Rattus norvegicus: one gene and its partners. The main gene of each other region encodes a partner of the protein of the gene in region 3 in a complex. Links are inferred from orthologs where the notes say so. Each region holds a gene or a part of one and is shown on either strand. Other genes may lie near its edges.

Region 1 (4,847 bases), on a different chromosome or scaffold from region 3:
CCAGAACGACGACAGCAAAAGATGAGTTGCATTTACCCTGGGTTGAGGTGTCTGTGGGTGTCAGAGAAAGGTGTAGGGTCCTCAAGTGGGAACTTCTAGTTCTTTGGAAAGTTAGTTATGGCAAATGATGTTTGGATGGAGCAAACAGGAGAAAGGATGTCTCGCTAAAGCAGACACGGGGGAAAGGATGATTTGCTATAGCAAACATGGTAAAGAACCCACAATGAAGGAGTAGAACTATGACCTCACAGACAGTGGGAGACGGGCACTGAGCTGTGGTTTGATTTGCTCTGCCTCACGATTCTTCACTAAAGACACGCATGCATTAGTTTACCTTACATGGCATCGTTGAGCTCAATGCTGTGGTAACGCTGTCACTGAGAGAAAGTCAGCCAAGAACTGCTCCTGAGGTTCCTGGTGTTTTTCTTCAGGATTGAACTACAGCTGCTGGTTCGTGCCTGGTGTCTGCCTGCTAAGTCCTATTTGGTGTTTGCTGCGGGACTGAACCACTGCTAGCTCACCCTCAAAGAGCTACTGCTCATCAGGTCCACTTCCCCCATAGCCTAACAGCTTTTCTCTTCCGCTGCCTCTGCTGGGCTAGAGGACTAGGTTGCAAAGAGCTTATGCCCACGGAGTCCCTTGGAGCTGGAGTTACAGATGGCTGTGAGTCGCCATGGAGGGGCTGGGAATGTACCCAGGTCCTCTGCAGGAGCAGCTGGTACTCCTACCACTGAGCCACCTACCTCTCTAGCCCTTACATTAAATTTGGAGAACAAGTATCACTGTGTAGCCCTGGCTGCCCTGGACCTGGATATGTAGACCAGGCTGGTCTTGAGCTCAGAGAGAGCTGTCTGCCTCCTAAGTACTAGAATTGGGGATGAGAGGCAATGTGAAAGCCGTTAGGCTCCAAAAACCTGTAGCAATCATGGAACTGAATTTTGGTTGTGCTTCCTGACCCACAGGCTGCCACTTCCCCTCCCTTACTAAGGGAAAAGGACTTAGAGTCCAACTCTGTCCCCGCTCCTAAGTGGCTGAACTCCAGAATATAGACAGACAGGAGGATTCTGGGGTCTGAGGATGTTTGTAAGACAGCACTGCAGACGCAGACATCTGTTAAACAGACTCCCTGTCCAGGGGCCATAGCTGAAAGGGAGGCTCAGGGTTAGAGGCTCTCGGGGACAGCAGTAACCCACAGGTACTCACAGCACATGCCAGCCCCTGGTTCCGTTCCATGTACCCCTTGGTCCCCCAGTGGTACACTCACCTTCTCTACGTGCAGTGCCAGTTTCACCCCGTTATGCAGCCAGGACAGAGCCACGATGGGGTCCCCTTCCACCTGGCTGCCCACGGAGCTCTCCCAGCTGTTGGCCAGGTGGTCAGCCATGCTCCAACATTTGATCTGCCCGTCAGCATCGGCAGACAGGAGCCGGGACCCTGTGATGAAAGAGCTGTGTCAGGAGCCCTTCTGATGGGCAGGTAAACTGCTCGGTGTCCCCTCCCCACTCTGGACTCCCAGTGGGCAGTGGCTGTCCCCAGGCTCCAGACTTAGGACTGATGACTGAGGAAGGTGGCATATGCTGTCCTGGGCTTTGGATTGAGAGCAAACCTCATGGCCTCACCTGACTGGTCCCATTCCAGGCAGGTGATGGCCTCACTGTGGCCAGAGCTGACAGAGTGCACTTCCCAGGGATGTTCTGTGTCAAGGATATGAATCATGTGTGTGAGGTCTGCAGGAAAGAGAACACTGAGGTCAGTGTGGTCCACAGTGCCCATGATTCCCACCCCCATTGCCCCTCTCCTATAACACCCCTCCCCCATGCTGCTAATCCCTACACAGGGTATCCAGTGCAGCCAGTGTCTCTCCAGAGGCACTATCACTAGATTTGGAGGATGGTGACCAAAGTGTGGATGTCTCTTCTCCCACCTTGCTTTCCCAGGCCTCTCTAAACCCTGTAGCTGGCAATGGAGAGCCTGGCTCTGCCACCATGAACCTACCAAATCGGGACCCATTGTATGAGGAAATCACAGCCCACCCACTTGGTCTCAATCCCCAGGTCCCAGTCAGGGAAACAGAACTAGCACTTACCCTGGTCATCATTGCGTAGGTCTGTGGTGAAGGCAATGAGGTTCCTGCAGGACCAGGCGCAGGCCAGGGGCAGCGACGGGCAGTACGTGCTCTTGGCCCACTTCTCCCATTCGCACACATAGGCTAGGTCCATCATACCCACCGCACCCAGCACCGTCCCTGGCTCCTGGGGAGAAGGGAGGCATGCTCTATAGCAGCTCCCGGCTAAAGTGGGTCTAGAATGTTCTCCAGCTCGAGCCCTGCTAGAAATTCCATGATGCCCCACCTGAGGTCACCCCTCCCTAGGCCACCTATCACCCACCCAGATCGCTGTGAGCTCAGCCTACAAGTGCTAAGCACCCTCACACACACAACCAGGCCCACTCCTACCACTTCAGTCTGGGCCTCAGTCTACACTCCAGAGACTTGCCCCGGAACCTAGTAGCTCAGGCCGCGTCCCAGCCCATTAGTCCCACTCGCAATAAGTTAACATCCAAGGCCCACCTGAGGCTTAACACACGTGCTTCACCGCGTCCCGCCCAAGCTCGTTAAGCTCCACCCACACTATCTAATCACACTAGGCTCTGCTTCCAAACAAAACTACTAACTTTATTCATCCCCCGCTTCTCTTCAGTTTGTGACTATCAGGTCACCAACCCCTCTGCATCAGTCTCAGATCTTCAGTCCCTAACCCCGACCCACCTTAGGCTCCGCTCCTTAGCCCACCGCCTTCTCTATCAGACTTATTGCTTCAGGCTCCGCCCCTTCGCTCAACTTCGGAACCTCAGGCCACGCCCCTCCCAGGGAGTCTCAGCCCCTCGGACCACGCCCCCTCCCCAGCCTAGTTGCCTCAGGCTTCACCTTAAGCGGGGAACCTAATCACATCTCCCCCTCACCGGCCTCTACCCAGCAAGCTTTGTTCCCAGGCCCGCCCTCTGACCCCGCAGGCCCCGCCCCTCGGCCTTCCGCTCGCGGGCCAAGCCAGAAATGCACCAGCCAGGAGTCCCATACCCCGCACTCCGCACTGACCTGTCCGCCCCGGGCGCCCAGCCGACCGGGCGGCCGCGGTCCACACTCGCCCCAACGCCCGGGATCCGGCGCCGCCATTTCTCGGCCCGCGCCGGCCCCCTCGAACAGACTTCTGGGAACCGGACTACGCCCCTGCCCCGGTTAATTTGCATATAATAATTTCCTAGTAATTATTGAGGCTACACGTGCGATAAAAGACAAATAATCTGTTCTTTCGAATGATTGGCTAGATCTTATAGAAAGGCTTAACTATATAAGCAGGACAAATACTATTCCTTCAGAGAAAACTCACCCTAAGTGCGAAGTAGCTCAATTTTGAGCCTATAAATATGTCTTGGGTAAGCCCGTAGTTCGTGCTCGCTTCGGCAGCACATATACTAAAATTGGAACGATACAGAGAAGATTAGCATGGCCCCTGCGCAAGGATGACACGCAAATTCGTGAAGCGTTCCATATTTTGCCCTCTCAGAGGAACTGGCATACAGCATAACTGGCATACAGCATAACGTCCTACGAAGGCCCGCACACGTTTTTCCCATTTTGTTTCTCGACAGAAGGGCTCATTGTAGCTCAGGTTGGCCTCCCACTGATGAGGTTCTCCTGTAACAGCTTCTACCTGCTGGGGTGTCAGAAGTGCATCACCTGGCCATGGACTTACTTACACCGTTGGGGGTGGGGGTGGGGGTGGGGGTGGGGGTGGGGGTGGGGGTGGGGGTGGGGGTGGGGGTGGGGGTGGGGGGTGGGGGTGACATGCCTGCCACAGTGCAGGTCAAAGGACCCGGAATTAGTTCTTTCCTTCCTCAGATTGCTGAACTTGCCAGCAAGCACCTTAACCCGCTTAGCCATTTTGTTGGCCCTCAAGTGGCTTTTGTTTGTATGAGGCAGGGTCACTGTGTGGCCCTGGCTATGTAGACCTTGCACTCAGATATCCATCAGCCTCTGGCTCCTGAGTGCTGGGATTGAAGGTGTCCAACATCAGACTTGTCTGTCCCATATGGCCCAGGCTGGCCTGAAACTCACTTGACCCATTGGTCACATGTAACGGTTTATGTGGTATTGGAGATGGGACCAGGGCTTTGAGCATGGTAGCCAATGCTTTCCCCACCAAACCCCAGCCTGGCACCCATCTTTATGCATTTTACATGTTGTAAAATGAACTAACGCATCAAGACTTGAGGTTCCTCCACGTCCAGATCTCCAGCCTCAGTGACCTAGTCTCATCTCTCCCACCCCACCAACCCCAAAAATAAGCACACAGCAGGCCCGAGCACCAAGGCTTTATTAAAAGTGTCCCTTTCCCCAAGCACAAAGAGTCACACGGAAGGGGAAGGGAGGACTCTGCGTGACCACAGCTACGCCAGGCAGCAGAGGGGACAGAGGAGGGGGACAGGGTACACAAGGTCAGAGGCTTCTGGCTGGAAGTCCTGGACCCCTGGTGTAAGGGAGGAGGAGGAGAGGGGACCGTCTGAAAGGCAGGCAGGGAGCTGGGGACATAATACACACGTCACCAAAAAAGAAAGCATAAAATGAGCCCTTGGGACGAAGCTTGTCCAGGTTCACGGGCACATGGCGTGCATACATGTGCTCGCACGCACTCTCACACACACGCGCAAACACACACACACACACGCGCGCGCGCGCAAACACACACACACACACACACACAAAACAAAAGTGCCCTGGGGAGGTCAGCAGAGTCCTAGAGAGGACCAGCCACCCTCTTCAGAGCTGAAACCTGGAGGGGTCAGGCAGG
Region 2 (4,732 bases), on a different chromosome or scaffold from region 3:
AGGGGGTTTATGGATGGGAAACTGGGAAAGGGAATAACATTTGAAATGTAAATAAAAAAATCCATAAAAGGGGGGGGGCATGATTCTAAAAACCAAATTTTGAATTCCCAACTCTTTCTATGTCAATTCTATGCAGATTCATTTTTTTTCCTTTCTTGAAAGTCTAAATATTGTTTACATCATTATGGCCCCTCTATTCCAAACCTGAGAACTCATGTTCTGTAGTTTTAGAAACAAAAACCAGTGGTACAGTGCTTAGGTGCTTATGTAGCTTGTGGAAGGTCTTGAGTGTGATTTTAAGCATGGGGGTGCTCTATTTAAATAACCTCTATTTAAATTCCCATGGTACTAGAATCTAATAATTTTTTAAAATTTTAAATTTTTTTTGATATAGAGTCTCTCTCTAAAGTCTTGGATGACTTGGAACTCACTAGGTAGACCAAGTTAGCCTTGAACTGAGAGATCAACCTGCCTCTTGATTTATCCTGAAAGATTTATTTTTATCCTATTTGGTGTGTGTGCGTGTGTGTGTGTGCGCGTGCGCGTGTGTGTGTGTTGTGTTGTGTGGATGTATGCCACATATTATTTGAGTGCCTATGGAGGTCAGTAGAGGGTGTTGGGATCCCTGGAGCTGGAGTTACATACAATTGTGAGGCTCCCATATGGATTATGGGAACCAAGCTTGGTCCTTTGGACAACATCAAATGTCCTTAACTGCATGACCTTAGAGTCATCTTTACAGTTCCAATGGACCTTTTCAAGGCAAGGTCTCATGTAGCCAGCAATGACCTTGGGCTCCTGATCTTCCTGTGTACATCTCCCAAGGGCTGGGATTATAGAAATATACCATCAAGCCCGGTTTGTCAAGTATGGAGAATGAATATAGAGGTCTTTATGCATGCTAAGCATGTACTCTTCCAACTAAACTACATCCCTAGCCTTCCTAATCAAATTTTATTACAACTTAACTTTGGAGCCTGATCAACTACTAATCTTCCTGCAAAATTTCTAATGTATCCAGATAGATCTACGTATCCTCTGGGTAGAAAACAGCAACAAAACTGTACCACTATTTCCTTTGAGAAAATAACTTTCTAATTTTGTTTGCCTATATAAATTCTTCAGAGTTCAGTTCAAATGACATCTTATTATTGCTGTCATTTTGGCTAACACATTTTGAAAACCATCAGGTAGTTTTAAACACTGCTTCCTGTGTGAAGCATGACTATAAAGTAGTAAACAGACACCCACAAAGATACAAGCACCATCCTTAAACCATGTATTATGGATCTCAAAAAGTAAGCTACGTAAAAACCCGGCTTAATAATCTCCCCTTCTCAGAATCCCACCATACCCAGCGTTTGCCTCGGAGATTCAGTATTTATCAACTGATTTATATATAAATGGCATAATCAGAACAGGAAATGCAAAAGATAAACTGCTGGAAGAAGCTGGGCATGGTGGCACATACCTGAAGGCTGAGATTAAGTGGATCTCTGTGAGTTCAAGGCCAGCCAAGTCTACAGTGAATTTGAGACAAGCCAGGGCTACATAGTGAGGCAAAACAACTAAAATAAGGAAAAAGAGAACTTCTGGAAGACACCTGTCATTAAAGCACATATAGTTATTTCTTTATGCTTCAGTCCTCAACTATAAAATATAATACCTATCTATCTAAAAGGGCTACATATTGTACACACCTCACTGATGTGAACTTTAAACTACTGTGCTAATAGCTAATTGGGATAACTGAACTTCTATTTTTCTTTTTTTGAAGCAGGATCTCATGTCCTCTAGGCTGGGCTGGAACTCCAGAACCTTCTGCCTTCACCTCCTGAGTGCTGGTATATAGTACCACAAGTTCCCTAAGATTTAACATATCCAGAACACCTCTTGATTTTTAGCTCTTCAAATTTTTTCTTTCCATAACTTCCTACTCTCAGACTACTATAACCTTTGTACAGAACACCCACAATTCCTCTGTTTATATTTAGTTCTTTATTTCTGTAGGCTTCACCTTTATCATGTATCCTGTATTCATTTGCTTCTCTACTGCTAAGTCCTGGTCCAAACCATTCTCTTTTAGGAACACTGATTTCTGATTACCCCATTTTCACTTATGTTTCTGCTGAATATCTTTTTAAAAAAAAAAATCACTAAATTAGCTCATTCCCCCCCCCCCCCATGTTGAAATTGACTTCAACTTGAACTTTAAACCTACATTGCCTTATAAAGGCCTCTACCTATTTTCCATCAGTACTGGAATTGTTCCTTTCCTTGAATTCAATGTGTCTTCTGCCCCTCAGATATTCTAAGCACCCCCCCCCCCATCTTCCCCTCCAAAACAGGTCTCCTGATGTAGTTTCTTCTATCTAGTATCTTCTCTCTGTCCAAGGACCGATGGCTTTGTTTATTCTTGAATGTTACCTACTCAGAGATGATTCTGTGAACACGCGCCTTATGCATGGCAGTCAAGAGTTCTACCACTGAGCCACGCCCCCCCCCAATTTTCCCGAATAACTAACTTTATGAATGTAAGAATTGATTCAATTCTAGTCCTTTCTTTGAGCGGGTTAATCTCCAAGTCCCTGACGAGGAAGGCAACTTGCTATAAACCAACAAGTTTGTGACAGACTTTAAACTAAAATCTTACTGTCTCCAGAAACGTTAAATCAGGTCTCCCGAGTTCCAAACAATGGCTCGTTTTCATAGAGTCACAAACAGCGGTTAGAGAACCCGGATCACAGAACTTCTCGCTAGAGGTAGTCCCAGATATTCACACCCAACCCAAACCCACCCCGGGAAATCAAGTTATCTTTTAGAGTTGTGAATCGCCAAAGGGCTTCTGACACTGTTGCCCACTGGCCACCCGTAGCCCTGTTATCTTACACCTTGCGCTGCAGGATGCTAGCCACAACGGTCACCTAAACTATTATCTGATTGGCTACTTTTGGCCCACTACTCACCTGGCAATTCCCGCATAAGGTAGAAGGGACCGCTTCCAGCCGTGGACTTATCCGCTCCCACGGGGGCCGAGGTCGCGGTCGAAGGTGGAGCCGTGCCTGGACCACCTCCCGGAGGAGGAGGGGGTGGCGGCGGAGGCTTTCCAGGCCCGAACCCTAGTGCGCTTGGTGGCGGTGGGGGGTCAGTTTGAGCTCCGAACAGGGCTGTGAAGTTCTCCATAGCACTCGCCGCTCTTGGTTACCCGGGATCTGGCGTTAATTACTTTCATTGGACAGCACTTTCACAGGGTACCACCCTCTTGGTTTAACAGCTTCCCATCATTGGATACGCTAAGCTCCGCCCACCATCTTCCGGCAACTTACTTCCTTTGCCCTGAGAGATTGTTCAGGTAGTGTTTCACAGACTAATAGCCAATAAAATGACTCAGGTAGAAAAGCGACAATTATGAGGACCAATAGACTATCTAATTCATTTTCCGATCTATTATAGCACCCAATAAGAGATCTACATCCGGGTCTGGAGGCGTTGCATCTGATATTTGGCCCAATAGAAGCCTTGCTGTTGGGGGCGGAGGACGACGATTTGGGGAGCGGGAGTGAGCCTGCAAGAGTGTAGGCAGGGAAGATGGCTGTCCTCGCGCCTCTGATTGCCTTGGTGTACTCGGTGCCGCGGCTTTCTCGATGGCTGGCCAGACCTTATTGCCTTCTGTCTGCCCTGCTTTCCATTGCTTTCCTCCTCGTGAGGAAGCTGCCGCCGATTTGCAACGGTCTCCCCACGCAGCGCGAAGATGGCAACCCGTGTGACTTTGACTGGGTGAGCGCCCCCTGCCTTAGTAGCTGTCGACCTTGACCATCCATCCCTGCCCTGCAGGTGCATGTGAAGATGGGAGGGCGGGTTTCGAGTGTAGCTTACACACTTGAGTGGAGAGCCTAGGCCGTTATCTAGTCCTTACCTTCGTGTTAAAGATGGAGAAACAGATTCCAGGGTTTCCATCACAGATGAACAATATTCTTCTGTGATTCCAAGTTCCTTGGGGCGCCACTGACGAAGACTAGGCCCGTGGTAGAAATACCATTTAAATTTTTCTAATTTTTAACGAAGTGATCACAGTGTAGTTAGGCGATTTTTCAAGGTAACACAGCGTTCACTAAGTGCTGTCTAACCTTAATCAATTCTCTGATAGACCGGCAGACATAGGTCACTGACTCAACAAAATAAATGACTTTGGTGGAAAAATCGTCTGCTCTGGGCATAACAACTGTGCGCACTATCTTCCTGAGGTGGGATAGGAAAACAGGGAAGGTTACAAAAATACGAGGTGGGGGGAAGCCCATCAACCATCTAAGAAGCAATATTTAAGAACAGTTAACATTTACCGTGAAGGTTGTGGACATAGAGCTAATATTTTTTTTTCATATACAGATATTTATGCTATAACAGCAATGACCAGGACTAAAGGTATTAATATAACCTTGGGTAGGCCTCACATGTTCTGGGACTCTCAAACAAGATTATTAACTTTGTTTACATTAAAGATACAATACTGTTGCGGGGCTTTGGGTTGTACCATTTTAACCCAGCACTCTAGAGACAAAGGCAGGTGACTTCTGTAAGATTGATGTAAGCCTGATCTATATAGGGCTTTCTAGATCCATCAGGACTACATAGTTAGACCCTAACTCAAAACAAAAGAGCACCAGATACCCTACTTATTTCTATTCCTGTACTCTGGAATCTTACTTTATAAATTACAACTCTGCCAGGTGCC
Region 3 (3,703 bases):
TGCTCATCCCAGGAGCGTCCACCTCCTGGCCCTGCACGCCCCTTTTCTGTGGCTTTGGCTATCTGCACCTAGGTCCCTTCTGGCTCCCAATTACTGCTTCTCCTTCCAGGCTCCTCGGAACCCTGGCTGGGTCAGAGGCATTCTGGGCTCCATAACCCCTTAAGTGCACGTGAGCTGTACACTACCTGCCCACCTGCCTCCAAGTCTCGCAGAACCAGGCACACCATGCTGCCTCCAACTCACCCCAGGGCCCAGCATCACCCAGCCGGGGCCTTGGGGAGTCTGCAAGGCGAGAGCAAAGACTGCCCTAGGGGTGTCAGTGACGGGAGCCGGGCATTGTTAAAAGGAACTTTATTGGGTGTTGGGTTCAGATGAGGTCCATGAGGATGTCGTCCTCCATGACGCTGGGCTGCAGGCCCGGCTGGGGAACCGGGCCCCGGGGACCCCCGCTCAGCAGCATCTGACCTGGGGGGCATCGGGAAGGGACTGCATCTCCCAGTGGTCCCTGGGGCCATTGAGGGCCCTAGGCCTCTCATCCCACTTCCTCTGAGAACCCAAGGCAGTAAGGTTTCTAGGAAGCTCCAGGGAACACCAGAGGTCCTTCTAAGCCCAACTGGATATAGACACTTTTCTAACCCTTCGGGAGCCCTTCCCCCACACGCATCGCTTCACTAACCCTAAGACATCTTCCAGCACCCCAGGACAGAATATAAGGTTTGTGGGAAGTTTCCACCACTGAAGCCTTGCTCCTGTACTGAACTTCCCAATGGCCCTTTAAGTCCCCTTGAGCTATGGGAGGCCCTTTGGTAATAGGGTCCTTAACAGTGACTTCAGGGACTCCCACTCTAGAACCCTGCCCTCCCCTGGAGCCCCTTACCTGGCAGTGGCGCCCTCTGGGGTAGCTGTGTGGGCCAAGACTGGGTAGGTGGAGGGTGCAGGAGTTGCGGCCCTAGCTGCGGCTGCCCCAGGCTCTGATGTGGCGGCAGCAATGCAGGGGCCCCTGGAGGCTGGAGGTGGTGTAGGGAGGCCTGGGGTGGGGGTACCCCAGTCTGGGGCTGAGTGAAGAAGACAAAGAATGACTCAGAGGACCCAGTCTAAACTCCAGGAAGGTCCTCCACCCTGGGAGCCTTGTCCACCACTTCCTCCCAGAAACACTGGGTGAGAACCTGCCATTCCCTGCTGCTTTAATCCCAAGCCTCACCGGTGCTGGATTAAGGAGAAGGCTCCGCAGCTGGGGGTTGGCTCCAGGGTTCTGGGGTCGAAGGATGGGTCCAGAAGGAGGTGGGCCAGGGGCTGCTCCAGGAGGACCTTGGGGTGCCCCTGTTGGGGCCTGGGTAGTACCTTGGGGCTGGGGCTGCCCTGTAGCCGCAGAAGCTCCCACAGCACCCTGAGGCTGAGGCTGTGGTGCACGGAGCTGTAACTGAGGAACAGAGAGCATGAGGAAGGACAGTACAGTGGCTGCCCCAAGTCCACCCACCTCCATCCCCAACCCCACCAGTCCCCACTTCAGTCCTCACTAGATTCTGCGGGGGCCTCGCTTGGTCCTCCAGAATGGGGCCCAGGCCTGGAGGTGCCTGCTGTGCCCCCATCTGCACGGGGACAGAGAGGACAGGTCAGATGAGGGAAGGTGACTCACACTGTAGGGAGGACCTGGTGTAGAGAAGCAGGGTGCCTTTTTCTGGGGGCACACCATCTTGGAGAGGCATGACACCCTGCCTGGTTGTAAGGTGGGTCTTGTGTCAGGAATTTGAAGTGCACACTGAAAAGGGACTAAAGCTGCTCTGCTAGGGACAAGGGACTCAAAGGAGATGTCTGGAGACAGGAGGCCATGGTGACTAGCTGGCTGGGCCCGCACTCACCCCACGCTGCTGCTCTAGCTTCTGCTGCTGGACCTGCTTATGGTTGGTGATGACCTGGCGGATGCCATTGACGAAGCCACTCTGGTCGTAGGGGATGAGGCCCATGAAGATCTTCTTCTTAGACGAGTACAGGAGCATGAGCACGCGCACCTCGCACGGGGCTGTATGTGGGAAGTGCACGCAGCCGGCCTGTGGGCAGAGACGCTTCAGAAACTGCCTACCATAGGGACACCAGGATAGCCCTCCTCATTCTATAAAACCCTACAAGCCCTGTGGCAAGAGGTAGGGAGGTCTCATTTCATTGTACAGTGCTAAGGAGGGCAGGTCTGCTTGGCATCTGCCCCAGAAACAAAAACTGAGTGACAGGCAATGAACTGGGCATTCAAATGGCATAGGAAGAGTGAAGCACCCACTGACCACTGAGGAGAGGGAAGACACCAGGCCACATCAGAAACCCACGGAGACCCTGACTAGGCCCTCCACCTCCTTGTCTCACTTCTGCACAGCGCTGGACTGCCTCCCCAAATCACACTGGAAAGGGCTCTGCTGGGAAGGATGCCAGAAAGATGGGGTTAGACCCTTAAGGGTCTCTCTATCTCTCTGCCACAACATCTGCCAGCATGGATTAGGGAACAGCAACATGACATTTAGAAGTCAGAGTGCCGGGCTGGAGAGATGGCTCAGCGGTTAAGAGCACCCGACTGCTCTTCCAGAGGTCATGAGTTCAATTCCCAGCAACCACATGGTGGCTCACAACCATCTGTAAAGAGATCCGATGCCCTCTTCTGGTGTATCTGAAGACAGCTACAGTGTACTTATATATAATAAATGAATAAATCTTTAAAAAAAAAAAGAAGTCAGAGTGCCTCCTCAGACTCTCAGGGAACTGGCTTTGGCTACCTGGGTTCTCTTCTCAGGACCTAGGTTCCCTCAGCCTGCAGCTGCTGCTCATCAACACACAACCTCTCCTGTTCTGCCCAGTACAGAACAGGGCAGTGCCACCGAAGCCCGAGTGCTGGTGAATGCCCTCCCCTACAAGGGGTGCAGCCTAGTGACCCAACTCTGCCCAGATTAAAGGAGGCCTGGCCAGAGGCTTTGGGTATTTCTCATTTCCTGAAGGAGATTCCAGCCACTGCCTCTTCCGCATGCTTAGGGTACCCAGAAGCTAAGATAACTACCTTTACCTATAAGAGGTCTAGGAATGACGTCACTGAGCTCCCTGCTGGGTCCTGTTATAGCGCAGAATTCAGTGTCTACGCTGATGGGCCACACCTCTGAGGGCTCTGGGCACAGCTGAGTTTCTAACAGCACCAGCAGAATTCCAAAGTGCTTGACACCCACACACAGAGTAGGTACAGCAGACAACAATGTCACAGAGGTGAAAAGGGCCATGAGGCTGATGACCAACAGTACCCTCTGCCTGGGACAAAGCAGGCACAGAAGTCACCATGCCTAACCCCATGTGCACTTGTGTCTTCCCCAAACACAAACTGCAACTGACACCCAGGAAGGTGAGATGACTCAGAAGCCGCCTCTACGACAGTCAGAGGAGTCATGAGGGCAGGCCCTATCCAACAGTAAACAAGGGGACAGAGCAGCCAGGCTTGACTACACATGTCTACAAATGCAGCCCTCAGGAGCCTGAGGCAGCAGGACTTGTCTCAAATCAGCATCAACCACCACATCAACAACCACCACCACAACCACCACCACCACAACCACAAGCCAGCACCATGGGCCAGGGACTTTGCAGGCCCTAGGACACATGTAGTTAGGAAAGGGCCAGGTATCATCTGCAGTGTCACAGAGTGACATTATCAGCAGCTCCTGGGGCCTAGGCACCC
Region 4 (4,909 bases), on a different chromosome or scaffold from region 3:
GCCTGCTGTTGCCAGCTCTTCATTTTCCTGCTGTGGTATTCTGCTGCTGCTGCTCTGCTAGGGCTTGCTGAAGACGCATCCGCTTCCTCGAATAGTGCTGCCAGTGCAGAATCTGCTGTTCGTCAATGAACTTCGCACACTGAGCATTCACCAGCTCCTTTCGAAAGTGTTCATATTGGAGCAGTTCTAACATATGCAAACACTGAGGGTACCTGGGTTTAAGTTCATAAGTCAATTATCAACATAATTTAAGGCATCCCAAGTTCTAAATCAGATACTCCCCTAAAAATGATCTCAAGCCCACCATTTCTACTACTATGGTACCTTTGGTAAAATCACTCCTACCATGTTATTCAGAACATTATGCAAGATATAGTGGAGTTATTTCACAACTTCTCTCGAATTTAAACATCTATAGCTGTTACCTCCAAGAGGACACAGATGAACAGAATAAGGAACAAGCCTACAAACGGCTTAGAGCTACAAGGAGGTGTATTTGATCAGAGTATATAAGAAGAGCTCCCTTACCTCTGGCTATCAATGGAGTAAGCTGCCTCTAATAGTAGAGGGACCTATGATCATAGGGAGCCTCCAACAGAGCGGAGACAATCATCTTTCAACAGCTGGGCTGGAGAGACTGAGCTTGAAGGTGGCTAAAAGTTTGCTAACATGTAACATGTTATACTTTTCTTTCTTTTTTTTTTTTTCTTTTTTTTTTTTTTCTCGGAGCTGGGGACTGAACCCAGGGCCTTGTGCTTCCTAGGCAAGCGCTCTACCACTGAGCTAAATCCCCAACCCCATACTTTTCTAATAGTAATTTCAAGCCTATCATTTGGATTCCTAGAGGAATCTAGAATTGCATCATGAAGAGCAAATCTACAGGCAGCCCAGGAATCAAGTCAGAAAAATGACTACGATTAAAAAAAAAAAAAAGGTTTGAAATGTTTTCCTCTAATTTTTAAAATAGGGTCTCTCTGTGTGGCCCTGAATGGCCTGAAGCTTGCAACATAATCAGGCTGGCCTCAAATTCACGGAGATCTGCCTGACTCTGCCTCTTGAGAGCTGGGATTAAAGGGACACCAAGCTACTTCTGGGGTTTTTGTTGTTGTCCCCTCCTTTGGGGCAGTGTCTAGACAGGGTTTACCTGGGTAGAGTGGCTGTCCTGGAAGCAGCTCTGGCCTTGAACTCACACATGCGCCCGCCTCTGCCTCCCAAATGTTGGGATTAAAGCCAGCTTGGCTTTCTTTTCTCTTTTTAAGTCAAAGCAGAGTTTGATGTGATATTGTTGTGTCTGTTCTTTTACAGTGAGTTAATACGCACAGTGATTGAAACAAAGGACACCACAAAGAAAGGCAGGACCTCTAAGACTCTCAGGAAACAGTTCTTCCTACCGTCACAGGTTATGGGTTGTTAGGCCTCAAAACCCCAGAAAGACAGGGGCAGTGCTAAGTGACATGGTTAGACACGACCAAATTACATTAGAACTGTAGTCTACAACAGTTCACTGGATCTTAGCCTGCACGAACAGTATGCTCTGACTTACACTGCCAAGAGAGTAAGCTGGCTCCCACGTAGACAGTTCTTTGGTTTTGTTTGAAGGGAGTGAGGTAAGAATGGTAGCAGAAATAAATGAAATTCCTGTCATAATCAACCCAAGTTAGAGATAACAGCGTCTTACATCAACTAAAAGCAGAAAGATCCCAAATGCTGTTTTCCATTCTGACACCGAGAAAACTGCTAAATAATAGCACTTAGTATTTATAATAAAGTACACACAGCTTTGGGATTTTAAAAATTAAACTTACTTTAGATATTTGGCATATTCTGGTTCTTTCCAGTAAAGCAAGTACTTAAGATAATTAACAAAAGCTTTGTCTTTGAAGTAACCTCTTTGGGCGAGAACTGAAAGACACAAAGAAACACTCTGTATGTCAACCACTGCTGGGCTGCTGATCTGTAATCTCTTAAGTAAAGTAGCTCTTCTTAACATCCCTACCGACAAAACACAAGGGATTAAAAAACACAAGCCCTTGTTTGCTCAGTTGATACTTACAGACCAGCACAAGTAAAACCCCAAACACATCGAAGTAAATAAATACTATTACAAATTGCATCTCTTCTCAGAAACCATTAAGATCTAGTGAGCTACTTAAGTTAATGATGTACTTAACTTACAATTAAGGTAATTTGGGTTGGCTAAACATTGCACAAATTCCAACTCCAACTGAAACCGAAGTCGATTTCCAGCATCATCTAGGAGAAAAGACAGTAAAAAAAAAAAGAGAAAGAAGGAAGGAACGATCACCCAAAATAAAAGTCACAATACAAACATTGATTTGTAGAAACAAAAATAAAACGCAGGTCAAACAGCTCAGCAAGTAAAGGTGCTTGCTGCAAAGTCTGATGACCTGAGTTCGATTCCTGGAACCTACAGGGTTGTAGGAAGACAACCGATTTCTGCAAGTTGTCCTCTAACCTTGGCATGCACCGCCGCTCACCCCCATAAACACACACACACATGCACACTCATGAATGAACTCAAATATCAAAGTGTGGAAGAAACTTCCTTAGAAATTTAGTTTAATTCACTACTTAGTGAGCCCTGTTTCCAAAACAAAAATAGTAATAAAAAAATCCTTTAAAGTTCGTTGAGGAAAAAATATGTAGAACCTGTACGCCACTGTGGAAGGACGTGAGCGGAGATTATCGGATAGTCTGCAATAGCTGTACGGTTCCCTATGTTGTTATAACCACAACTAATTACGTTAAGCAAAAACAAAGTGCTACACAAAAACGAAGCAGGAATGATTAAACAATGGAGAGAAGACGGTGATATGCATTAGAATACACAGGTTACCGACATTTCAGGCAAGTTTGGAGAAGTTCCAAAGAGCAGACAGTGGAAGGTCTCAGTCCTTTCTATGCGCCCCGGCCCGCCCCGCGAGTCAGGGTTGGAGTAGGGGTTAGAGCAACACAGGAGCAAAGTTGGTCCTACAGGCCATATTCTGGGGGGCAACACCGCCTTCTCCTCCGCCGGTCCCAACTCTAAGGATGAGGAGTTGAGCCCGGAAGACGGCGCAGGGGAAGGGAAACGGGAGAGGATTTTGGGGCGAAGGACCATTCCCGTGCAAAACACAACGCACCTGTCTCCATAGCGACGGCCGCGGCCATAGCAAGCAGAAAGGCGCAAACACTACCAACCCGACCCAACCGCAGCCCGGATTGGTGAAGGAGAATCCGGAAGTCACGGGTCCTACTTCCGGTCGCGGGGCAGAGTGGGACACGAGGGCGGGGACAACTTCACTTTGGGGAAGAGTGGCCCCGCCCATCTGTGCGGACCGGGCCGACTGCGCGCGCAGATATCGAGCGGGGCGTGCCGGAGGGCTTCTCTGATTTCAGGTCTGAGTCCTGCTGCCTACTCTGATGTAATACACCTCTCTGACGTCACCTTCCCCCGGGTGGCGTGACGCAGAGCATGATCCTTGGGCTTCTTTGTTCCTCCTGACCAAAGTGTACGGGCAGGATGGCCTCGCCCCTTAGGAGCAAGTCCTCCGTCCCGCGAGTGGAAAGCACCCGCCACAAGGAGACATCGACTGTCCGCATGGAGACGTCGTCCCACCGCGAGGAAACGTCATCCCACCGCGTGGAGACGTCCTCCCGGCAGGTTCTAACGTCTTCCCGGCAAGTGGAGACCTCCCAGCGCCACCGAGAGGGACCCTCCCTCACCCCCTCCGCGAAGCGACTCCCTCAATTCCTCGAGGTGTCCTCCCAGCACGTGGAAACCTCCTCGCAGTGCATGGAAACGTCCTCCCGCCACGTCAGGGCGTCGTCATCCCTGCGGGTGGAGACTACTGTGCACCGCGTAGAGAGCCCAGCCAGGCGAGACAAGCAAGCCACTCGGCAGAGTGCCAGAATGACTCGATGAAGTGCCATGGTCCTTAGCCAGGACTGAGGAATTGCCAGCCAGCTTCCAGGAGAGCCAAGTATCTTTGGTTTCATGGAAACAGCCCATAAAACAGTGTAAGAAGCAGGCTGTGGTTTCTGGGCACTGTTAACATGTATTGACATTGCAGCACCTTAGTCCATCCTGCTGTTGACCCAGCGTACTATTAACCTGAAGCCAGCACAGAAAGGTTTCCGATTTGTAGTACTGTGTAAACCCAGACGATGGACAAAGAGATTCTTTGAGTCTCTACACCAGGTAAGTTTTATAGTCTTAGGTCCCTCTAGAATGTGTTGACGACTTGAAATCTGCGAAGAGGGGCCAGATTTGTCATGTTTCTTGACTACTGGCCTGATCATATACCTGCTTGAAACCTACAGAGCAAGGCATCATCTTTCACAAATTGTTAATTACCCTTTAATAATATTTATATTTCATAATAAGTTTTCTCGTGTTAAGTTGTTATACACAGTATTCCATCTACACTTTAAAAAATAGGTCAGGAGCTATTAGAAAAATAAGGGCAGGGCAATTGAGAAAAAAAAATACTAATCTTGGGAGGGAACGTGAAGAAGCAGCCATGACACTTGGTCTGGGGCGTGAGATTGGCAGAGGATGGTTACTGAGTACCTACAGCATGCTTGGTACCAGTCAGAACTTGTCGGCTATAGCAGTGGAAAAGACTAAGATCTTCTCAAGTGAAGAGAAAGTAAGACGATGTTCTGTTGTATTCCTGTGAAAGATAAGGTATCTATCTTGTGGTAGCGAGTAGGGCGCTCTTTCGAGAACATGGTCAGGGAAAGCCTTGCTGATGACACTTGGTCTGAGATTGTGTGGGTTAGCAGCAAGCCATATCAGGATCTACAGGGAAGTACATTTTACACAGTACATTTTAAAAAAAAAATTGGAGATGTTTATGGAAGAGAAAAAGCAGTGTATGAGATTGTGGTATAATGGGGGGGGGTG

The links.
Region 1: the proteins of Med25 (region 3) and Med16 are in contact, whole or in part, in a cryo-EM structure (PDB 7EMF), measured with the Homo sapiens proteins. The link is inferred for Rattus norvegicus from reciprocal best matches to the Homo sapiens genes MED25 and MED16. Residues at the interface, in NP_112235.2 of Homo sapiens: Ala26, Asn27, Gly29, Pro30, Tyr31, Val74, Asp75, Cys76, Ala77, Pro78, Glu79, Val82, Cys84, His85, Pro87, Lys102, Phe103, Met104, Gly105, Gly106, Gly107, Gly108, Glu109, Thr120, Gln123, Leu124, Asp127, Phe128, Tyr151, Leu152; in NP_005472.2 of Homo sapiens: Cys41, Arg42, Ser92, Ser94, His113, Arg161, Lys163, Phe171, Gly172, Gly173, Lys174, Pro195, Gly485, Tyr486, Ala516, Ala517, Gln520, Val521, Thr524, Arg525, Ile554, Ala555, Ser558, Lys561, Ser562, Leu563, Leu564, Arg565, Pro566, His567.
Region 2: Med25 (region 3) and Med19 share a complex: the UniProt entries of both Homo sapiens proteins name them as parts of the mediator complex. The link is inferred for Rattus norvegicus from reciprocal best matches to the Homo sapiens genes MED25 and MED19.
Region 4: Med25 (region 3) and Med31 share a complex: the UniProt entries of both Homo sapiens proteins name them as parts of the mediator complex. The link is inferred for Rattus norvegicus from reciprocal best matches to the Homo sapiens genes MED25 and MED31.

Annotation. Positions count from the first base shown.
Region 1 is NC_086025.1:10,447,653-10,452,499, reverse strand, and holds the start of Med16 (mediator of RNA polymerase II transcription subunit 16), read right to left. Parts: upstream 3,228-4,847; 5' UTR 3,173-3,227; coding exon 3,095-3,172; intron 2,913-3,094; exon of another isoform or gene 2,768-2,912; intron 2,329-2,767; exon of another isoform or gene 2,253-2,328; coding exon 2,087-2,252; intron 1,728-2,086; coding exon 1,620-1,727; intron 1,435-1,619; coding exon 1,265-1,434; intron 1-1,264. UniProt on the Homo sapiens protein: Component of the Mediator complex, a coactivator involved in the regulated transcription of nearly all RNA polymerase II-dependent genes.
Region 2 is NC_086021.1:90,167,324-90,172,055, reverse strand, and holds the start of Med19 (mediator of RNA polymerase II transcription subunit 19), read right to left. Parts: upstream 3,228-4,732; 5' UTR 3,184-3,227; coding exon 2,967-3,183; exon of another isoform or gene 2,778-2,966; intron 1-2,777. Other genes in the region: Tmx2 (thioredoxin-related transmembrane protein 2 precursor), read left to right, coding at 3,589-3,777. UniProt on the Homo sapiens protein: Component of the Mediator complex, a coactivator involved in the regulated transcription of nearly all RNA polymerase II-dependent genes.
Region 3 is NC_086019.1:104,498,851-104,502,553, forward strand, and holds part of Med25 (mediator of RNA polymerase II transcription subunit 25), read right to left. Parts: intron 2,049-3,703; coding exon 1,860-2,048; exon of another isoform or gene 1,596-1,859; intron 1,590-1,595; coding exon 1,518-1,589; intron 1,421-1,517; coding exon 1,202-1,420; intron 1,056-1,201; coding exon 878-1,055; intron 466-877; coding exon of another isoform or gene 368-465; exon of another isoform or gene 335-367; intron 1-334. UniProt on the Homo sapiens protein: Component of the Mediator complex, a coactivator involved in the regulated transcription of nearly all RNA polymerase II-dependent genes.
Region 4 is NC_086028.1:57,335,663-57,340,571, forward strand, and holds the start of Med31 (mediator of RNA polymerase II transcription subunit 31), read right to left. Parts: upstream 3,228-4,909; 5' UTR 3,172-3,227; coding exon 3,144-3,171; intron 2,254-3,143; coding exon 2,176-2,253; intron 1,903-2,175; coding exon 1,806-1,902; intron 213-1,805; coding exon 20-212; 3' UTR 1-19. Other genes in the region: C10h17orf100 (uncharacterized protein C17orf100 homolog), read left to right, coding at 3,524-3,925. UniProt on the Homo sapiens protein: Component of the Mediator complex, a coactivator involved in the regulated transcription of nearly all RNA polymerase II-dependent genes.